3 linked regions of the Daphnia pulex genome follow. Each later gene encodes a partner of the first gene's protein in a complex. Links are inferred from orthologs where the notes say so. Each region holds a gene or a part of one and is shown in the gene's direction. Other genes may lie near its edges. The genes, in order: DNA polymerase alpha subunit B-like, DNA primase large subunit-like and DNA polymerase alpha catalytic subunit-like.

Region 1 (8,312 bases):
AAGCGACATGGAGAGAGTATGGTGGTGATTCGGATCAACCAATTGCTTTTGTCGTCGTTAGCAATTTGCCAAGAAATGCATTGGTAGAATGGCAAATTTGGGCTCACCGGACTGAAGGATCAAGCGAAAAATTCTCGGCAATAGTGTCACCATCAAAACAAGTTGGCCATATGTACGTGACCAAATGTGAAGACGCAACAGCTTTAATTTGTCAGTTATGTACGTATATACGTTAATCCATTTTTCTGTTGCAATATTTATTTAATAATGCTTTTACCTTTTAGTGGATATTCCTAATGATGTGAATGAATGGACTACTCTTTACCAAAGGCTTGCGCAACACTTGGGTCAAAATCATGCTCTAAGAATCTTTTACAAGATTGATCAAAATGGTTATAATTGGGAAATGTTAAGAGATGTAATTCCGAAATCTATTGCATTAACTTTGATCCCAGTTTGTGGATTTGAACCGGGACAAGCTGTTATTGTTTGTGGCATACACTTTTGAATTTTTGAAAAAATGACAGTATATTTTATTTCAAAAATCAATTTTTATAAGACGACACGTGCAATATTTTCGTTTGATATTTCTCACTTTTTCCTTAATTTGGCCTGGGCTTTGTCAGTACAGGAACGAAATGGACAATTCCACCGCCCTTCTGGTATGCTGCGCAATCCGACACAATATGTGTGATATCCTCGATCACAAAAATCGCAGAACAACATTTTCTCTTCGTCAGCTGGATCATGGCATTGATCGCAAGTCTTGCAATCTGAAAAAGATTTAAAAAATATCACCCAATCTTGATGTGAAACTCTTCTTCAACATACCGTTACATTCCCACGAATAGGCGGCTACTTGAGGCATCATACTTATGTCCAAATTCCAGCAAGTTAAATGACCTAAAACAAATCAGTGCTGTAATTGTTTACAGGTATTACAAAATTCAATAACACACCATCAGCTTGGCATTTGGCGCAACGGACGAGAGGCTCGGGATGTCCTGTTTTGTTCCGCCGTCTATCACCTCGACAAATTTTACACATGCCGGGCTGCCCAAGGTACTGAGGGCGATCTTCATCGTCTGAATCGTCGTCATCATCTTCGCTGGAACTTGAGGTATCATCGTCACTGGAATCAGAGCTGAAATTGATAATAACATGTTAAGAGGATTCCCTTGATAGAGTGGAATTCATAATACCTGGAATCATCTGACGAGGAACTAGAATCATCTGATTCCGTCTGACTTGCAGCAGCGGAATCGGCTCTGGTGGAAGACCCGTTCGTCGGCCGCCTTTTCCGCCTCTGAGAAATGTCTGGCTGACCAACCAGTGGTCCTCTCATAACTGTACCAATTGGTAAACAATTGAGCTGGTAAGGGCTATAAGTCTTAAAGAAAGAGGAAAATTGCCCAGGAATCACTGCTACTGGATAAGGATCCGAAGGAGCATTGACTGGCTTGAGCGCAGCCGCCCTCCTTGGAATTTGAACTGTAAAGGTCTGTAAGTCGAGACAATGCAATCGTTCTTCAACACGCTCCTTGTTGAACATAACATTCCACTTAGCCGCAGCTTTTATAGCCCGCTGACGTGGATCGAATGACTTTTTCTCGGCTGGTGCAGCCGGAGTGGCCACTGGAGTAGTTCCTTTCGTCTTTGACTTGTAAGCTTGTTCCTTCTTTTCGCTTTGAGCAGCTAAATATTCTTCGTATTTTTCAGGGAAAAAGTTGAAAAAGAGATCAAGCACCTCACAACTCAACAATGCAGTAAGTCCGAGATTAGCTTGCGTTTCACTAACTACGTTTCGTTCCCGAAGCCAATCCCGTTCCACCATTTCCACTGCTCGACGCTTCATATCTGGATATTTTCTTTTGAAATTTCCTTTAATTGACAAATAGTTAACTACTTGCTCTTGGACCATCCACAGTTCGGCATTCGTATCCTCACACGGCCAAGCGTATTCCACTAGTTGTGCAGCGGTAATTGGTGTTTGCGAACTGGCATCAAAGATTTCACGAGTGCCCAGTTTCTTTTTTGCGCTTGAGGTACTCAATGCTTTCCACGGAGATTCATTTGCACTCTGAACGGGAGAACTGAACGTTGCTGATCCACTAAAAGAGTTTTCTACACTCATTCTAGTATCTTCTTCTAAAACTTGGAACTTTGGGAGTCTTGGTCGGGCAGCCCCACGTGGAGTTTTGGGAGTTCGTCCACGTCCACGTCCTCTACCGGTAGAGGTAGACGGACGACCGCGTCCCCTTGTCGGAGTGTTGAATACAGGCTCAATATTCTCTCCAACTGATTGTGCACTGGTGTCAAGCAACTCGGGAACCGGTAGTTTTTTTCGACCACGACCTCTGCCTCTCCCTCTGCTTTGCTGAGCTGGTGGGGGTACTTTAACAAAATCTGGATCAGCTTCAAATGGAATATCTTTGGCACGACGTGGGAGCTTTTCTCTGGTGGCATTTAAATCATAAACTTTTCGTTTGTATTTCCGTCTACCACCCACAGCACCATCAAGATTTTCTTCTTCATCTGCTCCTGGAGTGTTCGAGGCTGTGGACCTGTCTAATATATTTGAATATGCAACACTTGAATCATTTGCACATTCATGTGAACTTTGGCTGGCTAGAGAGAGGTCTTGTGACACCTCATTGTCATCTAGTTGACTGTCTTCTAAGGTTTGATCTTCTTCATTTATTTCTTCAAAACTTTGTTCATGTTCCGCTGCTGTTGCATCTTCAACCTCATCTTGAGGAAGCATTTCATCATCAACTTCCATTGTAAATAGTCAAATTTAAAGTGAGTCTTGGGATCTGAAACATACCAATGAGACAAGTTAACACACATTCACATTCCTAAAACATTTGAAATTGTAATTGCAACAACATTGATTTTTATAGAGAAACAAAGGAATTACTTCGTAAATTATCAGTCAGTAAGGTTGTAAATTTAAAAAAGTCCGAAGACGATATCTTGTGCTATATAGATGGGATTTTGAATTCCTGAGTACACTTTTAAAGTTTTTAAGAAATAAAGAGTCTGTTGATACATATAAACATTGGATGACACACTACAAGCCACCGGTTTTAGCCTTTGGCTATACTCGTTTCCGTTGAGCATTTACGTATCGATTCTATCACAATCGATTTATAAGAACATTCCGAATAATCTTTTCAATTTATTTTTTTTCTAAAAGTAGGAGAAAATAAAGAGTTTCAATTGACGAATGATAATGAATTTGTAAAATTTTGTAAGATATTAAAACAATTCCAAGAAACTATTGAGGTAATAAAATGAATAACTGGTTTTTCAAGAAACAAAAGATTGCCGCATTTTTAGCAGCATGCGGCAGTGACGCCACCAACGATAGGATGGGGGACTATTCGGAACGAGGGAACTATTTATTCTTATGCGTCTGCGCTCTGAAGAACCATTGGACAGATCATGGAGTTGGATCACAGCAACTTGTTGAATGAGTTTGAAGATTTTGGTTTAACACCCAATCTCAAAGTCTTGATTAAATGTAAGTGTGTTTTTTTAATCTTTCTTGATGGTTCATTATGATTTTAGATTTGTCTGTCGTGGAGGTTATTTCGTTTGAGTGAATTATGCCATAGTACAGTGTGACAATTTTGAGCATTTTATGTATGATTACGAATGCAAAAGGGCAGAGCGTGGTCAGTAAAGAGACGCCTTATTTAACGTCGTAGAGAATTTTCGTAGTTTTACTATTTTTGTGGATGCAAAATTTCATTTTTATATAGTGTTGATTGAAACTTTTTTACAGGTTCAGAGCTGTTGAAAAAGTACGATATCACTGCTGATACCCTAGTCAATCACTGGATTGGTTTTGCTGCCACAAAATTAAATAATGAAGCTCCTTCGCTGGAAAATTTGGGGGCATTTGAAAATGACCTCTCCAAAGAACTATCCGCCAAAACCAAAATTAAAAGTGAACCTCTGAGCGAGTCTCCAGTCATTCACAACATCACCACCATCAATCAGTTGTAATGTCGAGCTTGATTTTTCCCAAAGCAGTCTTAATATTAAATGTTTTATCTTTTATTCCTTTCAGAGCTGAAGATGATGAGCTTCTAGTAGGCTATGGAACACCTGCCAGGAAGGTAAAAAAAGTTCCTTTTCTTTGTATACTGTAAGGGTCTTGGGAGATGGATTGTGTACAGAGTACAAGGTTGAAAAAAAGCGCCTTTCAAAAATCTACCTGGCTCACAAAGCATCGTGGCGCCTTTTTCAAGGTCAAATATTCCCCTCCACCGTTCGTGTGTCGCCGTGGGCTACACTCGGAACCTCCGCACACACATCTACCTGCTGACACAACTGCGGCCATTTCTTTTTGTTGAGTTCTCTCAATTTCCAAATCGGTTGTCGAGGAAAACTAATCAGAAAGGGATGGAAGAAGTTAACCGATATAAGAAGGTACCGTCCCCATCCTGATGAGGTTTCATGCAAATAGCAGTTGGAAAAAGTTTAAAAAGAGAGAAACACGAAAAAGAATCTGAAATGGGTGGAGATGATTTGTCCCTCGACTGTTGCTGCTGCTGCTGCTCAAGAGTAGGGGAGGTAGAGAACTCTCTTTCTATTGGTAGATAGGAATTTTATAGGTAAGAAGAGGCTTCTTTACCTTTGTGCGTGCGTGTTGAGTATAGCCTTTGGTGTGTAACGAACCCCTCCACCTCATTCACCCACCTCCCCCACGAGCGCACACACGTTCTTCGCTCTCTTGTGTCGACGTGTTTTTGTTCCCAGAAAGAAAGTTAGTGCGCAGTCTTAGCCTTTGAATCACTGCCATCTTCGCTCCCAACAATCCCAACGAAAAACGTCGATTCGTTCTGTGTGTTTGTTAATCCGTTTTAGCCAGGTGAAAACATCAGAAAGTCTAGACGATCAACAGTTTCTTTCGTTTTAACGAATTTTCCATTGTTGGCGAGTGTTGCTTAGCTTGGCCCCTCCCTTTTTCTTGCGCTTTCCCAGGGACTTTGCCTCGAGCTACAACGGTCGTTTTCCCATTCCACTCCACCTCTCTCTTTGACTCGATCTCTCTCCCTCACCTGTACCTGCAGGGAGGGAAGCATTTTCTTTTCTTTTGGAGACGCGCGTCTCTCAGTCGCCATTACCTGGTGTCGCTCGATTAATCTCCTTCTTTTCCATTTTTCCCATCAAGTGTAGAGTTATTTGCTTTATTCAACAATCCAGTCGCGTTCGGTGGATATGGTTCTCGTGACATGGCTTTTCATCGGCTTTGTATTCCGAGTGTACATGACTAGATCCATACTCACCAGACGAGGCTGGACCAATCACCCAAAGCTCTTGACTTAACATTTTTTTGATTTGTTGATTCTTTTTAATGCTCTTTTGTCGTCATTGTTTGCCCCGTCGTCCAGGGGGGATGATGATGGAATTTTTTTCCGCGCGGGAAATCGTCCCCCCCCCCACAATTGTGAACAATTGGAAGTTTTACTCGGCAACGTAAAAATAAAAACCGGAACCGGAAATGTGAGCGAATGTCCCCTGTATGTAACGATGATTGTCATTTCTTTTTCCATGTAATTCTGCAGCAATGACGGTTTATTTGATCGATCGGAAATTCCATGGCGAAGGTTGGGCGCTCTCTAGGTGGGTCTGTTTCTAGTGCATGTGTTTTCTCAGCGCGTCATTCATGACTAGATCCATACTCATCTAAAGGGACCCAGCCATTCTACAATTTAAATTTAATCGAATTTATGCATGTGACAATAAAATTATGTCGAAATAAAATAAAAAATCTCGTGTTCATTTGGATAATTCGTTGTTGTATTCTAAAATTTTGACAGTCGTCGGTGGGAGCCAAAAGGACAAGCGGATTGGAAGGAACCCCGCAGAACAAGCGTCTAGCAGGGTTGGGTCAGGCGTACCCTGTGCACAGTCCCTCTGTATTCTCTCCTTCCACGTAATTAAGGTTTTATTGTCTTCTCATGAGCCCAGTATAAAAGAAACAGTTCTTCACTGGTCGGAAAGAATAGGATCATTGACCGAACGCTACATATTAGTAGACGAAATAGTGTAGACTTGTCTTTGCAATGTTCTGTGTATTTCAACAGGCCTGGCACATCCAGCAAGTTTTCGACACGTAACAACTCTGGTGAGGTTGTTGCCAAGTATCCAGCTGACGCGGTCCTCGACTGGACAAGAACCAACGAAAGATGGCAACCGAAAATTCAACTTCATGGCACGGTCGAAACGAAATTAACCACCAAATATAATTACATGTTCAGTCGAATGAGAGATAAGTTCGACATTTTAGAAGAACAGATCAATGTTATTGGAGATTTAATTAAAGGAAAACTTGGAATCGAAGAATTCGAATCCAACAATGTTCTCAAATCGGTAGTTATAATTTTAACTAGCTTTGGGTGATTTAATGAATAATTAATTTTCAGGATGCTTTCCAAACGATCGGCCGAATCTGTTGTGATGCGACCAGCGGCTCTCGATTGAATACAGCTTCATTATTGCTTGAAGGAACCCGAATGATATCTTCCGGGCAGAGTGTTCCGCTTGATGTCTCGCAGCTCAAGGAGTTTTCTTTTTTTCCGGGTCAAGTAGTAGCTGTTGAGGGTAGTAATCCGACTGGAAAAAAGATGGTAGTTACTTCTATAACCACTCCACCAATAAATCCTGTCTTCAAAACCGACGTTTCATTGGAAGGTGGCCATTAATCATATCTCCCGTGTTTTTACATGTCAATATTAGATATTTTCGTGTTTAGGTCCCCTAAATGTGATGGTAGCGTGTGGGCCCTTCACGCTATCCGACGATTTGGAATTTGCGCCACTTGTTGAATTCATCCAGCAGATTAACACAATCCTTCCGCACTTGGTTATCATTATGGGACCATTTTTAGATGTCAAGAACAAAAAAGTGGAGAGTGGAGAACTTGATCATACCTACCAAGAACAATTTGAAATAGTCATGAAAGAACTTCAGACAAAGATCTCAAAGTATTTTAATTATATTTAAAATCATGAGTTAATTAGACTTAATTTTTTTTTTTTTTTTTTTTCAAGTCATGTACAGGTTTGTGTCATTCCGTCGTGGAGAGATGTTCACTACAGGGCAGTCTATCCGACTCCCCCATTTCAGCAAGAGAATAAATTACCGAATTTCCACTTTTTCTCAGACCCATGTGTCTTGAATGTAGAAGGTGTTTTTATCGCCTTGACTTCAACTGATATTCTCTTTCATCTTAGCAAAGAAGAAATTTCGGTGTAAGATAAAATCAGACCAGGAATTTTACATTGAAATTTACCCGCTTTTGTTAACAGTGCACCACCTGGTTCCGATAGGATGGGCCGACTGGTCTCCCACCTATTCAGCCAACAGTCTTTTTATCCTTTGAATCCACCAGCCGAAGAAATGAGTGTCGATATGGAACATGCTGATGATTACTGCAAGCTAACATTCACACCACATTTATTGGTGGTTCCCTCTGATCTACGCTTTTTTATCAAGGTAATTTAAACTTCAGTAATATGAAATTTCTGTGGTCCTTCTTTTACATTGTACATTTTATATAGAATGTCAACGGTTGCGTAGTAATCAACTCGGAAAGAGCAGTCAAAGGTATTTCTGGTGGAACTTATTCTCGACTCCAGATCACTGGTGAAGGCTCGTCTGTTCAAGTTAAGGCCGAAGTTGTTCGAATCTAAGTCTACGTAATTCAGCACATATCCTAACTCGTTCATATTTTAAGTTCATTCTCCGGTATTCACCAACATATCAAATGAAAAGCACAAGCCAAGTAAACAATAAATACGAAAAACAGTAATTAACAGTTTTGTTTCATTTCTCATTGTTTTGAATATGGGTACTCTTTAACAGTGTCTTGTATAAATGTTGTTTGTTTAAAAAGAGGAGAGAGGAATTTGTTTCAAATGTATTTAACTTAATAAATTGACCAAGCAATTTACTAGGTACATTTAAAAAAAAGTGATTTGCCAATTTTCGGAAATTAAAGATCGAATATCAAAATTGGCAACACCGTTTTCTAGTTCTCACGGAAGTTCGTCTGTAGCCGAAAAGTCGGCACTCGGCACATAGCCACATAGACAAAGGTCGGACTCGGGAGTTTAGCAAGGCTGTCTGGTTTTCCGTCACGTTTTATTTTGTTATTCGAGTGCTCAACTGTTGTATCTGTGTTACGCTTGACTGTCCTGCCACCCTACACGTAGTTGAAACAAAGCAGTCAAATTAGGAAGCAATTGAAACAGCCCAGGATTCCCAGATCACGTCAGTGCAAGAAGTGAGGCATA
Region 2 (8,231 bases), on another chromosome or scaffold:
GCAAGTCCGAGATTGTTACACCCAAGATCCACGTTCTGTAACAAGTGTGAGAGACTATGCAGACCCGTCGTCTGATCGACCCGCTCGCCGCTGGTTGTGCGATATCATCGGAAAGATTCAGCATTACGGGCATTCACTTGGAAAACGAGACAAGCAACAACTATTCCTTTGTCTTGCAGCAAGGTATGTAGATCTGTTGCCTTTGAACCTTTTAATCAATCCCAGATTCTTACTCTCGAATGCTTTAAAAGAGATAGGATGCTCCATCGGATTATTGGTCCTTTGGCGTCATGTTCGTCCACGTTGACACACTATGATGAGAATTCCTACTTGAGGGACAAGCGCTTACGCGACTACCTACAACCTCTGTTACAAACTCTAAGCGAAGAAAAGGTAAAAATTGTTCTGGAAGCGTCCATAACGCGGGGCATCGATTAGATTTTAATGAATAACTATTCCTCGATAGAAAATTCGCGATACATTTTATACGTATTCTGTTTTGATTTAAATGTGTAGATAGACTGGGTAAATTTGTCTGTTTATTTTACAATTTCAAGCGAAATGTTCCAATATGATTAATGGGTAACATATATGTACGTGTCTGGTCTGGTGAATACACCGAATAGTCGTCGAAAACGTAACATTCTGGTAGACTTTCACTTTGTTGTATTCAGCGAACTTTTAGGTTAACATATGGAAATTTATCTTCCGTGAAACATTTACTCTGTGCTGCATCATTGCTGGTATGTCTTTCTTTTGAACTATGTCTTCCATGCTAAAACGCTGCAGTTTTCTCATTTCATTGGACTCGGCATGTTCTAGTAAGTTTGTTACGCTTCTCCAGGTTGCGGTAAATGATTGACTCATTGTCTCGTGAGCTTCAAACAATTTGGCCTGCCACTGCGTAGAAGTTGTGGACGCTAAACTAGTGCCTTTCCATCCATGACTCTGCTCTATGGTTCCTTTCAAGTCATCATCCACTCGAAAGGCAATAGTGACGTAGAGCACCGAATTTTCTTGCTTCACTGCTGCAGTGTGAAACATCCAACCAGACGGAATTACGTTAATCACCGGATCATCAATCAGACAATGACTGACAATAGTCTGCTGCTCGCAGATAATCGGTACATTTACAATGCAACTATCCATAATACTATCTTTCATCATCTCGGCATCTGCTTCTATGCAGGACAGAGTTACAATTCCTTGAATTCTAGATGGATTTCTGAGGAATGATTGAACGTGTAGCTTCATCCCCAACGTCTGGAATAGTTCGGATGCAGGATTCAGATTTTCCAGATCTAGAAATAGTACAGAGTTGATGTATTTCGAGCACACACACAAACGGGTAAATAATACTTACATTCTGGCATAGTTCCTAAATGGTAGAAATGCGATCGCTCCAAGATCAGAATGTTCAGCGATGTATCTCCGAAATGACTAGCAATTTTGCGTTTGATTGTCGAGGAATTAGAAACATTTTTCCAATACAGTTTTTGTTCGGCAGGACGAGATCCCATGCAGGCTAGAAAATCGCCGTATATACACGTTTCGTTGCGGTAGAGATCCTCACATTCCTCAGCAAACGCCACCATTTTCCTCACGAGTCCTGGTCGGCACCAAAACATGCTGTCGGTATATACTCTTTCCTCTTCATTATGGCCTTCAGAAAAGATTTTTTTGTAAAGCGCGATAAAGCGCAACTTGAATCTGACTTAAATTCTCACCAAATTTAAATAAAGCCTTTTTTGTTTCCATAGTGACATAATTCGGTTTCTGTAAAACTTCAAGGCAAGGGCTTAGCCTACAATTCTCCTCATTTCTACACCACTCTGGAAGCACGTACACACCATGCGTATTTCCTAATTTTCAGAATGGAAATACTAATTTTAATTTTTTTGAATAATTTCTAAATTATGATCTAGGAGCTCCTACCTATTGCAATAGTGGATGGATGACCAATGGCTACAATTCCATCTTCATCTAGTTGGTTAAACTTTTCTTCAAGACTTTCAAGACCTGAGAGATAAATTATTATGTAATACCAAAAAGGACAAATGAAAAAAAGAAAGAAGAATTATTAAACAATTACCTTCTAAACAAAAAGTTTCTATATCATCAGAAGCACAAATAAATATTCCTCCATTTTTCATCAGTTTAAGAAAAGGTGAAGTAATAATAAATTTTAAATTTAGAAGTGTTATTGCTTTTCCTTCAACTTCTAGTGGCAATGGACAAAATAACTTTCCAGTACAGCTTAAATTTGGTAATCTTTTACTAGATCCCCCTAAAATAAAAATATTTTTTAAAGAAATAAAAAAAATAGTATTAACTGAAACATGTAAGTAGGCCTATAACATCAATTCCTACCAGCATGACTAATCCAAATTTTCATCTCAAATAGATCATTGGCAAAAAGTTTTTTTAAATGTTTCAGAATATGAAAGGTAGATCCACCTGACCCCAAAGCATATCCAGGACAATCAGCAATGACTAAATATTTAGTAGCCCTTGGTATTTCTCCATTTTCCAGTTTCTCATCAATTTGCTGTTTGAAACATTCTTTTTGTTCTTCATCTCCGGCAGATATGACTACACAATCCCAAAAACCATCGTCTAAACAGATAAAAGGTAAAATGTCAAACAATCTCACTGACTTGTGATAATTTGTGTGATGGATGAAGTTTTTACTTGTTAAAAACTAACCTAAAGATGTTTTGTTAAAGTTTTCCGCTAACTGAACCATGTACTTCTGGATTCGTTCCATTTTTGTGACTGTTGTAGCATTTTCCAGGACGACGTAGGCTTAGTAACTTTGCCACGTAAACACTTTAAACAGTCCAAATTTCATATTTCAGGTAAAAACACAGATGTTTATTGACGTATTCAAAACATGGGAATTCAGAGACCCCTGGAGGGTGTTAGAGAAAGATAACACGGGTAATTTATCGGACTTCGGATATGATTCTGAGCCTAAACCTTTGGGAAACGAAGTTATTTACTGATACAGATTTCTGGAATTAAATATGTTTTAATTTTTGACGAAAAAAGCGAAAAGTAGTAATCATTTTCATATCACAGGTAATGTGTCGTCTGTCTCGTGTCCCGTGTGGTTAGTTTGAATTGCAAAACAACGAACTCTTATAGACATACCATGGACATACTGCAATTAGCGAACTCTTTCATTTTCATAGAGGCATTCGCACTTAATTATTTATGGTCCAAAATTTAATTACAGTCGTCGCAAGCCCGCAGCTGCGTGAGACAATGAATTGGGTGAGGCAAAGATTAGATTTCCTGCAATCCTTGCAAAATTCTAATTAATAAAAACTTTGAATAACTTTAAAGCTATTTAATATGCATGATTTGTATCTAGCAAGTTCGCAAGTCTTCGAATTTATTTTAGAGCGGTTGCATTTGCATGCAACTTGCAATCAATTTGGAATCCTTTTTTTTTCGCCAATTTTATATCTGGCATCACCGTTGCTTTAGTTTGAGCGCGAAAAGAGATCTTTTGTTGTTTCATTTACCGTCTGCTACTCTGCTTTATGTTAAGTGTTAACCGCGCAGTAAACTTGGTAGAAAAAAAATTTTGTTGAATAAATTCCGAGGGAAATAGTTACTTTTAAAAATGGAATTTCAACGCAACACAGTTCGGCGAACTATAAAAAATTCTATGAAGCTAAGAAGTGAATATCCTCATTCTCTGCAACTATATTCCGTACCTCCCAGTGAAACCATCGGTTTGCAAGAACTTGAAGATTGGGCTGTCGAACGTCTCAAAGGTATAATAATTGGTCATAACTTCTTATTAATTACCTCCGTAATTACTTCAAATTTTTATCAACAGTTCTTAGGACAATAGAGCGTGTCAATCTGAGTAAAAATGCCAGATTCTCTGATGATTGGAAGACTGCCCTGAAAAATGATTTACAAAAGCAGAACTTGAACAGTTGGTATCAACTGAGCTCAAGTATCAAAGATGATAAGATGGATGAAATCATTTCAAAAACACGACAGAAAGATCATGTTTCTCACTTCTTGATGAGACTTGCATATTGCAGGACTGAAGAGTACAGGCGTTGGTTCATTGCTCAGGAAACTGATCTCTTCCGCTTTAGATTTTCGATGGAAAGTTCAGAAGATATCAGGGCATTTATGAAAGAAAACAAAATGAATTTTCTACCCGTATGTAGAGATATTGCAAATATTCACCAAATTATTACTTATTTAATTATATTTCACCAAACATTTTACAGATTCCAGAGGAAGAAAAAAAGAAGATATTGACTAAACTTATACATGCTGCCCAATTTAATGCCAATAAAGTTGATGCAGTGGAATATTACAAGGTTCCCTTTACAGAGGCTTTAGATTTAGTTCGCCATCGCAAAGTATACTTGCAAGCCGGATTTGCATACATTCCAAGCGAGGACCTCGTTTCCATAATCACAGCTATGTTCCGCTCTCATTTATCACTTGCTATGGCGGTAAAAGAAAATAATTTTTTAATATTCACTGAATAACTTATTTAAAGATATTTTTTTTATTGGATTGAAGCTTACTATGCGTTCACTACCAGAGCTAGAGGACGATCATCGAATCCGTCGCTTACTGAATGACTTTGATAAACGATATACCGGTCAAGATTTTAACTCTCTACAAAATAAATCTTCTGGTGCCGCTGTAACACCAGAAATGATTGATGGGGTAAGACCAACAAATTTCCGTGCTTGCTTTATAAAAACAAAAATAGTAAATCATTAAAATGTATGATTTGCAGTTGTCAAAACAATCTTTCCCACTCTGTATGAGACATTTACACGAGACATTGCGTTCTACTCATCATTTAAAACACGGCGGACGTATGCAGTATGGACTTTTTGTCAAAGGAATCGGACTTAGCTTGGAAAATTCATTGAAGTTTTGGAGGGAGGAGTTCTCCAAAAATATGGATATGGATAAGGTTGGTAAACCTCCACCGAGGATCAAAGTTTCATCAAAACTTCTCCTTACATTTCCCTATTTCCTTTAGTTTGAAAAGCAATACGCATACAATATTCGCCACAATTACGGCAAGGAAGGAAAAAGAATCAATTACGCACCTCAAAGCTGCATCAAAATCATTACTGCCAGCGTAGGTCCGGGTGAGAATCACGGTTGTCCGTTCAGACACTTTGATGCTGCCGTCCTTCGACAGAAAATGACAATGAATCGTGTTCCTCAGCCAGGTAGTAATTAATTTCATATGCATGTCTTTGATCACGTAATTTAATTTGTTTTGGTGCCCTTCTAGCGATTCAAGAAATAGTCGATCTAGTGACACGCCATCATTACCAGATTGCCTGCCAGCGGTACTTTGAAGCCACGCACAACACCGAGATTGATAGTGGTATCCAGCACCCAAACCAGTATTTTATCGAAAGCCAAAAGATCCTCAACGGTGAAGTGAAGGAGAAAATCAAGGGAGCGAATAAGGTACAGACCATTCGTGCTACTCTTCCAGCTAAAGTAGAGAAACTTGAAACAAATGAAAATGAGGTTCTCAGCGAATCCGTTTTAGCAGCAATTGATATGGATGATGATTTCAACTAAATAGTTTAAATCAACTTTTACTTGAAAGCCGTACAAAGGGTTTTATCGATAAATTGTATCTAGCTAGAAGTATTGCGCACTGCATTCGGTTGATCAATAAGATTCCCCAACTGAATAAGCTTGCCTTTTAGAAGTTTGTAACAAAATCGTAGAGATCGTATGTTAAGGCGCGTTTGAACTTAACTTGAATATCTTTCCCACGGCATCAGATGTATATCATTTCTTATCTAAAATGTATCCCTGAAACTTTGCGTAATTGAATTTTGTAAACTCAAAGTTTCATCCGAAAAGAAAGTTTTGGTGCATTATTTGAAAGGGAAACTTGCGTCCGCTCAAAGTACTTTTTGAGGTTGGTGTGCTTTTTCCTAATCGTCAAAAATAACTTTTGGAACAATAGAATAATAGAGAGAGACATACTTCGTGATTGGCACTTGTGTATTTTACTTTTCGGTATGCATGCTGTACAAAATTTCACAGTCACTAAACGCTGAAGTTTACAATTCAGTGACTTTGATGTTTTTAGTACACGGAAGCTGCGGGATAAAAACTTTTAAGAAAGTCTAATTAACGAATCCCTGTTTTGAAATAATCTCGCCACATTGGGGAGAAATTGAACGATCTAGAAAAGTAATAGTACTATGGTTTTTGTGTATATGCAAAAAAAAAAACATTCTAAATTAACAATACAAACTTTGTGTCTTTTGGTAAATTTCGATCAAATTGTAAAATCTCCTCAAGCTCATCGTTTCAGCATGATACCAATTATGAAAAAAGGGATGACTGAGGAGAAGGGAAAGACGACCATTTTTTAATATGTAGATTGCATGGCAATCATCGTACCAACACAAGGTTTTAACACATGGCCGGGAGTAACAATAATGTACACGTAATAATACCGCCACCTAAAGTGGTTGACCTATACACGGACATTTTTCGGTTTGTCATCGCTTACTTGATCGTTGCGGTAACACGTTAGTCTTCCGCCATAGACGTTGACGGAGCCACTTCCAGCAATAACTGCAAGAATGTTGTAACATAACCTTTACAGAATTACAAATGATCAGTGAATTAATTGTGTTTCCTTTTTCCCTTTTAGAGATTTTCAATTGTCAAAGCACTTACTCATTCCGGGCAACACTTTCTTATAATAAACGAAAGGTACGTAGAGAAGGAATCCAGCCAGAATGAACAAGGTAGCGTACAAATACTCGATTTTCGGATTGTCCACGATTGGCCCAATGACCAGGTAAACGGAAATGATTAGCACGATGACAGGAATGATAATCGGTACCTGCATTTCAAATTATTGTTATTCTTGTCTTTTAATTGGCTTTCCAGATTTCAACTGTACCTTGTAAGGCCTGGGTGCGTCCTTTTTGGTGAACCTCATGACGATCAATGCGAGCATGGCGGCTCCGTAAAAAATCCATGCCGTGAAGCTGAAAAAGTCAATTAGGCTGGCGATATCTCCTGGGATGATCATCATGAGCGCAACGGCGCTCTGTGTAGGCGTAAGTAAGGAAGAAATTTGTAATAAATTCCATGTTACGCTGAACTTTTAGTAGTAATGATTTTTTTTTACATTGAAAAGGAGCGCAGGAGATGGAGTCAACCGACGGATGTGAACATAAGAAAGGACGTCGACTAGATGCCCTTCTCGACTCGCCACGTAGCACAACCTAAACGAACGTAATTATTCATTATTTTCTAGCGAACGTTCATTAGTGATCAGCAGCGTCGTTCTACTCGGCGTTAAGCAAGGTTAATTTAACCAAATGGAGCGTTTGAGGAAAATCAAATTCTCCTACCTTCCACCGACGAAGAGTGTCCCATTAGCACTGCCGAAGCAACTGATGCACACGGCTAGTGGCATCAACCAAGCTAAGGTACCCAGCGCTCGAGTGCCGAAAGTCTGTATCCATCACCAACACCACCCCGACCAGACATTCGTTTTAGCAAGAAAGAAAATGAAAAATTGAGGATAGAAAAATAGTCAACCCCGAGATGGCGTTCAGAGACAGATCGCCCACGACAGACAAGTGACGACGGACACGGGTCGGAGGATTTAAAAAACAGGAATCAATTTCAAGTTTGAAAACTAACTACTCTCTACCGCAGAAACATGCAAAGCAGCTTAGTTGATTATTTAATAATTAGCGAGCGAACAAAAGCTAATTAATTATAATAACAAGCAAGCACTATTGATCGATGATGAGATGGACTGAGATATGAATCAACCTTCCGGCTGTGAAGAGACTTCCGTTGCCAGCGCCGAATGTGGACAAGACAACACCTAAAGGCATCAAGAACGCCATGGGACCCAAGAGTCGATTGCCCCAATCCTGAATGGGTAAACAAAAAAATCACACAGAAAACCCATGCAGTTTTAACGATATAAGAAGCCATGCTGTGTTGACTAGTTTAAAGTAAACTACAAATTAAAATCTATGAATCTCTACTAGTGCTGTGGAAGTTAACAAAGTCATCTTTGTTATATTCATGCAGCAGTTAAAACCGAAAGACGTTTGAAGAATGAGGGTTTGCATGATTTTTTTTCTCAATAATCCATGCCAAACTTAAAACGAAAAAATGTACAAAGTAAAAAGAATTGCGTACCACGGCGACGGCTTCGGACT
Region 3 (8,015 bases), on another chromosome or scaffold:
GTGAATTTTGATTCACAGTTTAGACAACTGAAAGCTTTTTCACCTAGTTTAAATTGTAAATTCATATTATAATAATAGATATTTCAATTTGGCAATGTGCTCTGGTTATAAAAAATTGACAGCCGTACCTGTGTGAGACATTTTATGGGTTTTAAGTCGGTGTGTTGTTCGGAAACATCTACCGCAAGTTTCACACTGGAATGGTTTCGCACCTGTATGTTCTTGTTTGTGTATCTTCAAATTCATTGGGTGAGTATATGCTAAACGCAAAATGAATTAGTAAGTAAATTTAAAAACTAAGATCCACAATGGTTAATTACCTTTATCACAAAGATCACACTTAAATGGTTTCTCCTTTGTGTGAGTCAGTTCGTGCATTTGCAGATTATTTTTTAATCTGAAAGCTTTGCCACAGAACTCACAAATGAATTGATAGTCAGCAGAGTGTAGTTTTTGATGATTTCTTAAATATGACAAGGTAAAGAACTGTTTGTTACATTCTTCACAAACATATGGCTTATTCCCAGTATGACGATTAAGGTGGTCCATGTACTTTAGCATAGATACAAAGTTCGCTCCACACTCGGTGCAAAGATGTTTATCACGGCTAGAGTGCCCAGTATTTTTTGTTTCTTTTTCAACTGTATGCACCAACGGTTTGCTAGTGCAACATTCTTGAGCTTCTTTATTTTCTTCAGTTCCCTCTTTGTTTATTAGACCGTTTTGAACATCAACTATTTCAGTTTCTTCAACTTTTATAAGAACTTCCATTATGATTAAATACCCCTTTTTATACTAGTTTTGATGCCCATTCAGAACTTTCAACCGAATAATGATGCAGCACTGTCCTATAATAAGAAATTTTATACAAGATATGAAGTTAGTATTAATTTTGTTTAGTTCAAAAATTCAATTAAATAGAATGACATTTTTGTTAAAGACTTTACCAGTGACCAAACAGCAGGAACGAAAATAAGTGTTTCACTGTTTTGACTGTTTTCTAAAAACAATCAAGAGAGCGTCGTCTGCAACAAAGCATGCAGTCCTGCCAAACCTCGAAAGTCGGCACTCGCAAGTCGCAACTCGCAAGTCGCAAGCCTGTAAAGTCGTAACTCGTAACTCCGGTAACTCGTAAGTCGCCAGCCGCAAAAGCGGTAATAAAGACCAAGTGGACTTTATTAGTGGAAACTGGAAAGTACTACCTGAGTACAGGTAGTGGTAGGAGGGCAGTAGCTAATAGCTATGGTGCTCAGACGTAAATACCAGTCTTGCTGAAAATTACGCCTGCCCATGTGCCTGTCTAGGCGGACTACTGATTCAACATCCAAAGTCCGAACACTCTGATCCGAAGGCGCAATAACCAATCCAAAGTGACTTTAAGCACATAAAATTATCCAAAGGTACAGCTAAAATTAAGTTCAGACTTCAGACATATCAAATAATGTTTTGAGGAGGTTCATTGAGACTAAATAGTAAAGACAAAAATATGGTCCTTTGTGTATTTACAAATTTCAAAATGGGTTCTATAAATCAATGCGAAGACTGGCAATTAAAGGAGAGATGTATTACGAACATCACGAATTTAATGATTCTTCCAAGGAAGGAATTTCTTGAACATCGTCTTGATCAATAGAAAATTGTACTAACATAGGCCCCACACCGGATGGCTCCACAATATAAGTGTTTACAGGGAGGACTTCTAAAGATTCTGCTTCTATGATGGTTACCTAAGTATTTTCACCGAAAATTTTAACATTAGTAAATTCTTTCCCAAATGTAGATTACATTAGATACAATTACATACCTCGTGATCTGTATCAAGAAAATGCGCATCATCTATATTTTCTATGTAAGCAACATTCTGCAAAGTTTCCAGGCCCTGGTCCTCAGTATCTCTTTCCAAATCTGTAGTAAGCTTATTGTTGCAACGCTTGGCTTCATGCAGTTTTAACATTCCACTAGTTTTGAAACTTTTGCCACAAGCCGAACAGTCTAGTGACTTCGAGGAGCTGTTTAAATAATGATGTTTACCTCTCACCAGTATACTGTAGGTAATGCAAATGTTTTAACACATACCGATAATGTGTAGCTAAATGGCACGCTAAACGATGCGGTTCACGAAACAGCTTTCCACATAGATCACAACAACAGGGCTATTGAATAATCAAACAAATTTAGTTAAATTTTTAACACAAAAAGTTATTGATGTAACCAAACAACCTTCTCCCCAGTATGCACTTGTAAATGTATCTTTAGCACGTTTTTGTGAGCGAACGTCTTTTCACAGTAGGGGCAATTGTGAGGTCGTTCTCCGGTCTGAATTAATAATTAAGTATTATTTATCGTCGCAATAATTTATTAATACTTTATTATTTACGTGACGCATTCGGTGTTGTTTCATGTGACAAGAATTCCGAAATTTCTTCCCGCAAAACTCGCACTCAAAAGGCGCTTTCCCGCCTAAAAAATTTGGTTATTACTTTATGAGCAAATATGAATTATTTTAGTAATGCAAGATGGAAATTACCGTGCATATCAAGGTGATGTCTCATAACAGCCCTTGTCTGAAAAGATGCTTGACACACGTTACAGATGTAAGGTCGAGTTCCGAAGTGCTTAAAAACATGTTCGACATATGGGAAGTAGGAGGTCATTTCCTCTTCACATTGATCACACTTAAATGGGTTCTGACCAGAGGGAGTTAGAAGTTTTGCCAATTCTCTCATATTTTGCAAAAAGGTGGAAGTATCTGGTCCACAACCAATTTGGTCTGGAACAATACACTTGTCCATTAGTTTTACCTATATTTTTAAAAATTAAATTTTTAAATTTTTTGTAAGTTGAAATCTTTATATTGAATAAAATTTGTGGAGGTAAAGGAATTCAATTCACTCCAACCTGAAGAAGTTCCAGTGAGGCTTCAAGGGTAGATCTTTCTTCCTCAACAACAACTGCTTCTTCAAATGCCTTGGTATTAACAGACGAAGTAGAGTATTTCTTGTTTTCAATGACAAATTCAATTGCTTTGGTTGGCTGTGTTATTGACTTGTTTGAAGTGGCAAAATTGTTATTGGATGGCTCCACATTTCTGTGCTTTTTAGCTGAGAATGTGCTTCTTAATTCAAATACCTTCCCATCTACTTCATACTGCAGTTGTAAATTCTTTTGCCTGTTTATTGTGATGTCATTCTTGATTACTTCACATGTTGGTGAAGGTTTTCCTACATGTTGATGTTGTTCCTCTTTATCACAATTGGAAAAAGTGAGAGTCCATTGATTTTTGCTTGGAATGAAAGAAAATACTCCCTGTATTGCATGCGAGTGTTCAGTTTCTCTCGATGATTGTAGTTTATCTATATCAGAATCCAGTTTGAAGTCGCAAAATCCACAGTGTTCCCAAGTGGTTTCAATACTTGGTTTTAGCTGCAAAACCATTTGTTTACCTTCTTGTGCTGTTTTCAAAACACCGAGAATCTCTAATCCCTCACAACTTCCCATCTTGATTGATGGAAGATTTTGTCCCCTATTACAAATTACGACACTGTTTATTTTGGCTTAGCTTTGGATTTTTCTTCCAAAGTTGGTAGCCAACAGCTGTTTCATTCATTACTCAATAGATGACTTTGTACTATGTAAAAATAATTAATTTTTGATTTTTGATTTACAGATTACATCATACTTTTGATTTATAACTTTAACAAAAATGTAATTCAAACACAGTTACTAATTATCTTTATAAGTTTATAACATTTGTAAACTTCGAATTGTGAGCCAGCAATTTTTATTCGGCAACGCCGCGCCATTAGAGAATTACGCGGGAAAGAGCTGAAAGACTAATTCGGCCATTTATGTGTAGACAACTGTGCCTTTTGTCCAGTGTTCCTGCATTATAGCTTTTATCGGTTGATTTTCGTCTTTCCTGATCGTTTCAAAATTTTCAAGACCTGCATTAGAAATTTTACTCGTCATTTATTGAGTGTTTTTTTATTTTGTGTTATTTTTAAACCATTGTCATGGCTGATGACAAGGAAATTAGTCAAGAAAAGGAAAGTGGTGAGTTACCTTTACATCTGATTCATTTTCGTGTTATTTGTATTTACCACCTGATTGATTTTCAGGTCGTACACGGAGAACTAAACAAGACCGTGAAGGGAAATTTGCAGCCTTTCAAAAGCTAAAAGACTTAAAGGGTACTAAAAACAAAGTTACCTTGACGGAAGTTGATAATGTTTATGAAGAGGTTGATGAAAGAGAGTACTCCAAACGAGTTCAAAGACGACAAGAAGATGATTGGATTATTGATGATGGTAATAGAGTAAAGCCAAAATTAAATTATAAAATGCCTTGTTCACAAAATATTTTAAAAATCAGATGGAAGTGGATATGTTGAAGATGGTAGGGAAGTGTTTGATGATGATCTGGATGATGATAATATGGCCCAAGCCAAAGGAGCAGCCAGGGGTCATAAGAAGAAGGACTTGTCAAAAGGAGTTCCTGGAAAAAAAAATAACATTAAAAATATGCTAATTGGCATGTCCTCTAAAAACAAAGAGGTCTGTTTTAGCACTTATATGAATGTTTTATGGAATTTCAAAGGTTTATTACTTTTATTACTGATTTCACTTTTTAGAAAGATGCCAAAACTAAAGATGATGACATTTTAGGAGACATCATGCAAGAACTGAATTCCACCCCTTCAAATGCTCCCTTGAGGCAATCAGTTTCCACTCTTAAAAAGAAGACCATTACTTCTGGGTACCAAAAACTATTAGAACTAAATTAGATCATGTTTTGATTCTGTGTTTTGATTAAATTTTTTTGAAATGATTAGATCGTTGATAAGTCGTACACCAACTTCGATCCCACGGATAACCAGCACTTCAGTGGCATCGAGGCTATTGAAAGCAGAGGTATCAGAAAAATTTTTTCTTTAATTTTCCCCTGTAAACTCCGTCCTATTCCCTGCAGCCCAAACGTCTGCCTTTTGGCAGAGGGGCATCCAATGTAGAAGACAATACCTACGACTGTGCATCAATCGAAGATTCAAATTCATTATGCGATGATAATCCTTTTATAATGGATGGAGTACGTATATTATTTTATTTCTTTTCTAATCTATTTAATACTAATAATAAACCGTTCCATACTACCTTCACTTTTATGTGCTGCCAGCCTATGGACATCGACCAGTTCGATTCGCAACCAGAAATCAATACGCAATCAAGTGAAGCCTCAATTACGACATCTTATACTCCCTGTGAAGAAAGTATTGATCTTCAAGAACTGAAGCAAACTCCTACCATCAGGTTTGTCGCATTTCCGCCAATCTAATATTTATTTTAGATACATTCTTTCTACTTGCTGATGTATTTTTAGCGAATTCGATCTTACTTCGGGATGGGAAACCATTAAAAATAACGTTGACGTTAACCAGAGTGTAGCTGTTTTGGATTTAGGGAGTAATGAGCTTCCCTTGACTCAAGGGGAAGATGGAGAACAGGTTCTATAAATACTTGACTGTTATTTTGCAGTTTCAACTAACAATTATGTTAAATAGTTTTTGCGCATGTACTGGTTCGATGCTTACGAAGATCCGTATATGCAACCTGGCACCGTGTTTCTTTTTGGGAAAATTTTCATAGAGTCGGCTAAAGCGTATGTCAGTTGCTGCGTTTCCGTAAAAAATATCGAGAAGCATATATATGTACTTCCACGTGATACGGTATACACATCTTTATCTAACCTGAAAACTTTTGGCAAAAACTCAACTTGCCAATATCATTTGTATAAATTCATGTACGGAACATTTGTCGCTTTCCTTTTTCATCAGGTTGTCGATCAGCGTACTGGCCAGGACACGGGAACTCCGGTTAATTTTATGGATGTATACGAGGAATTTAATACGCGGGTAGCAGATCGCTACAAAATTTTGCAGTTCAAATCACGGCGTGTATTGAAAAAATATGGATTCGAACCACCGAGCATTCCTCGCGAGAGCGAATATCTTGAAGTGAAATACTCTGCTGAACATTCCTTGCCTACGAATTTGAAAGGTGCAACATTCAGCCACGTCTTTGGAGCCAATACTTCGGCATTGGAAAACTTTTTGTTGGAAAAACGCGTTAAAGGGCCTTGTTGGCTAAACATCAAGAACCCCCAGAAGGCCAACCCGCATGTGAGCTGGTGCAAAGTGGAGGTATAGAAAATATTTTTTTAACGAAATCAAAATCGAAAATTAATTAATATGATTTTTATTTTGTATTCAGGCGTTTGTTTCTAACATGGATCAAATTGAGTTAGATGATAAAAGAGAAGCGCCGCCTCCATTGGCTGTAATGGCGCTTAATTTGCGCACTGTCGTCAACAATCGCACTCAGCAAGTGGAAATTGTCGCCATCAGTTGTTTGATACAAAACGAATTTCATGTAGACCGTGCTGCTCCTCAACCTCCGTTTCAACAGCATTTTTGTCGTAAGCTACAATTATGGAAACGATTGAATGAAGATACATGTTTAAAAAAATCAATTTTCGTAGTTGTAGGCCGTCCATCTGAAGAACCTTGGCCACTAGATCATCGCGATACCATGAAAACGACAAAACTAACGAAAATAGAACTAGCCGAGAACGAACGAGCCCTGCTTAATCTTTTTCTGGCCAAAATTAACAAAATCGACCCCGATGTAATTGTCGGGCACGATGTAGCTTCCTACGACTTGGACATACTTCTCCATCGTTTCACCCAGAACAAAGTAGATCAGTGGTCTCGTCTGGGCCGACTACGTCGCACCAATATGCCTATGTCTAAGGTTTGCTTAGACATTAGATTAACACTCAAGTAAGAATAATAATAATAAAAAAATTTAAAGGGTGTCAGTCGCAGTCATCTTGTCATGAGTGGGCGTTTGGTGTGTGATGTGAAGATTTCGGCAAAAGAACTTATACGCGCAAGGAGCTACGACCTCGAAACGCTGTGTCAACAGGTTTGATAATTGAACCACACCTTATACATCTCAATTAATGCATTGTCTTGTTCAATAAGGTTTTACATTTAAACGGAGTTCGCCCAGATTTGAGTTCAGATTCTGTTAAAAAGATGTACTCGACTTCAACCAGTCTGTTGGGAATGATAGCCATTACTATGCAAGATGGCGCGAACACACTAAGATTGATGTATGAATTAAACGTCCTTCCCTTAGCTTTGCAAATTACTTCGATTGCAGGTAATTCGAAGGAATCGATTTTAATGAAAAGAATTATGCAAATTTTTCTAATATTTTAGGAAACTTGCTTTCTCGAACTCTTCTGGGAGGTCGTTCAGAACGCAACGAGTATCTATTGCTCCATGCATTTCACGAGAAGGGGTTTATCGTTCCAGATAAGCAGGCTTTTAAAAAATCAAAGAAAGGAGAAGATTCTGATCCTGAGGATGTTTCGACTGAAAATGCTAATCGTAGCAAGAAAGGTCGTCGGAAACCAGCCTATGCTGGTGGTTTGGTTCTGGATCCCAAGCGAGGTTTCTACGACAAGTTTGTTCTTTTAATGGACTTCAACTCGCTGTACCCGAGCATTATTCAAGAATTCAATATATGCTTTACCACTGTCGATCGACAAGTAGCAACTAAAGCAACTGAAGGACAAGAAGAAATTCTTCCCGACCTACCTGATCCGACGTTGCCCCTTGGCATTTTGCCTACTGAAATTCGAAAGTTGGTTGACAGTCGACGTGAAGTGAAAAAGCTCATCAACGATAAGTTATCTAAGGATCTTTTACTTCAGTATGATATCAGACAGAAAGCATTGAAATTGACGGCAAACAGCATGTACGGCTGCCTGGGATTTTCCAATTCACGTTTTTACGCCAAACCTTTGGCCGCGCTTATTACATGTAAGTTACATTTCAGCTTTAACGTTATGCATTTTAATTTCCATTGCATTTTTCTGTAGCCAAAGGACGTGAGATTCTACTGCAGACTAGGGATCTTGTCCGTAAAATGAATTTGGACGTCATCTACGGA

The links.
Region 2: DNA polymerase alpha subunit B-like (region 1) and DNA primase large subunit-like share a complex: the UniProt entries of both Homo sapiens proteins name them as parts of the alpha DNA polymerase complex. The link is inferred for Daphnia pulex from reciprocal best matches to the Homo sapiens genes POLA2 and PRIM2.
Region 3: the proteins of DNA polymerase alpha subunit B-like (region 1) and DNA polymerase alpha catalytic subunit-like are in contact, whole or in part, in a cryo-EM structure (PDB 8G99), measured with the Xenopus laevis proteins. The link is inferred for Daphnia pulex from reciprocal best matches to the Homo sapiens genes POLA2 and POLA1. Residues at the interface, in XP_018112289.1 of Xenopus laevis: Met280, Tyr281, Lys282, Phe283, Met284, Phe285, Gln286, Lys287, Leu288, Met289, Ile291, Arg292, Val295, Ser296, Ile299, Glu314, Thr316, Leu320, Pro321, Gln323, Glu324, Thr325, Val326, Gln331, Gly333, Cys334, Asp335, Ser336, Asn337, Gly338; in NP_001082055.1 of Xenopus laevis: Gln548, Lys551, His553, Gln554, Asn555, Phe642, Glu645, Val646, Gln649, Asn652, Leu673, Gly675, Arg676, Phe679, Lys1137, Asp1141, Pro1143, Asp1144, Ile1321, Gln1322, His1324, Asn1325, Lys1326, Leu1328, Leu1329, Arg1332, Ile1335, Lys1336, Tyr1338, Tyr1339.

Annotation. Positions count from the first base shown.
Region 1 is NC_060020.1:1,703,565-1,711,876, reverse strand, and holds DNA polymerase alpha subunit B-like, read left to right. Parts: upstream 1-3,386; 5' UTR 3,387-3,447; coding exon 3,448-3,526; intron 3,527-3,790; coding exon 3,791-4,010; intron 4,011-4,078; coding exon 4,079-4,127; intron 4,128-4,645; exon of another isoform or gene 4,646-4,914; intron 4,915-5,834; coding exon 5,835-5,950; intron 5,951-6,101; coding exon 6,102-6,387; intron 6,388-6,440; coding exon 6,441-6,708; intron 6,709-6,769; coding exon 6,770-7,001; intron 7,002-7,067; coding exon 7,068-7,268; intron 7,269-7,325; coding exon 7,326-7,512; intron 7,513-7,577; coding exon 7,578-7,709; 3' UTR 7,710-7,828; downstream 7,829-8,312. Other genes in the region: diphthine--ammonia ligase-like, read left to right, coding at 1-219, 285-508; PHD finger protein 10-like, read right to left, coding at 592-773, 832-903, 960-1,144, 1,203-2,782. UniProt on the Homo sapiens protein: Accessory subunit of the DNA polymerase alpha complex (also known as the alpha DNA polymerase-primase complex) which plays an essential role in the initiation of DNA synthesis.
Region 2 is NC_060018.1:6,168,307-6,176,537, reverse strand, and holds DNA primase large subunit-like, read left to right. Parts: upstream 1-3,472; 5' UTR 3,473-3,631; coding exon 3,632-3,785; intron 3,786-3,850; coding exon 3,851-4,188; intron 4,189-4,259; coding exon 4,260-4,490; intron 4,491-4,560; coding exon 4,561-4,710; intron 4,711-4,783; coding exon 4,784-4,966; intron 4,967-5,035; coding exon 5,036-5,231; intron 5,232-5,296; coding exon 5,297-5,595; 3' UTR 5,596-6,007; downstream 6,008-8,231. Other genes in the region: DENN domain-containing protein 5B-like, read left to right, coding at 1-183, 252-438; fucose-1-phosphate guanylyltransferase-like, read right to left, coding at 682-1,301, 1,364-1,663, 1,728-1,862, 1,936-2,019, 2,093-2,287, 2,371-2,616, 2,707-2,767; b(0,+)-type amino acid transporter 1-like, read right to left, coding at 6,568-6,635, 6,718-6,886, 6,947-7,096, 7,178-7,274, 7,834-7,937, 8,212-8,231. UniProt on the Homo sapiens protein: Regulatory subunit of the DNA primase complex and component of the DNA polymerase alpha complex (also known as the alpha DNA polymerase-primase complex) which play an essential role in the initiation of DNA synthesis.
Region 3 is NC_060022.1:1,985,285-1,993,299, forward strand, and holds the start of DNA polymerase alpha catalytic subunit-like, read left to right. Parts: upstream 1-3,819; 5' UTR 3,820-4,013; coding exon 4,014-4,053; intron 4,054-4,118; coding exon 4,119-4,307; intron 4,308-4,371; coding exon 4,372-4,553; intron 4,554-4,630; coding exon 4,631-4,755; intron 4,756-4,831; coding exon 4,832-4,910; intron 4,911-4,968; coding exon 4,969-5,085; intron 5,086-5,172; coding exon 5,173-5,306; intron 5,307-5,376; coding exon 5,377-5,500; intron 5,501-5,557; coding exon 5,558-5,722; intron 5,723-5,830; coding exon 5,831-6,196; intron 6,197-6,266; coding exon 6,267-6,471; intron 6,472-6,534; coding exon 6,535-6,806; intron 6,807-6,866; coding exon 6,867-6,980; intron 6,981-7,039; coding exon 7,040-7,220; intron 7,221-7,279; coding exon 7,280-7,885; intron 7,886-7,944; coding exon 7,945-8,015. Other genes in the region: putative zinc finger protein 66, read right to left, coding at 1-43, 129-260, 321-795, 1,203-1,374, 1,576-1,727, 1,805-2,009, 2,077-2,153, 2,221-2,316 and 3 more. UniProt on the Homo sapiens protein: Catalytic subunit of the DNA polymerase alpha complex (also known as the alpha DNA polymerase-primase complex) which plays an essential role in the initiation of DNA synthesis.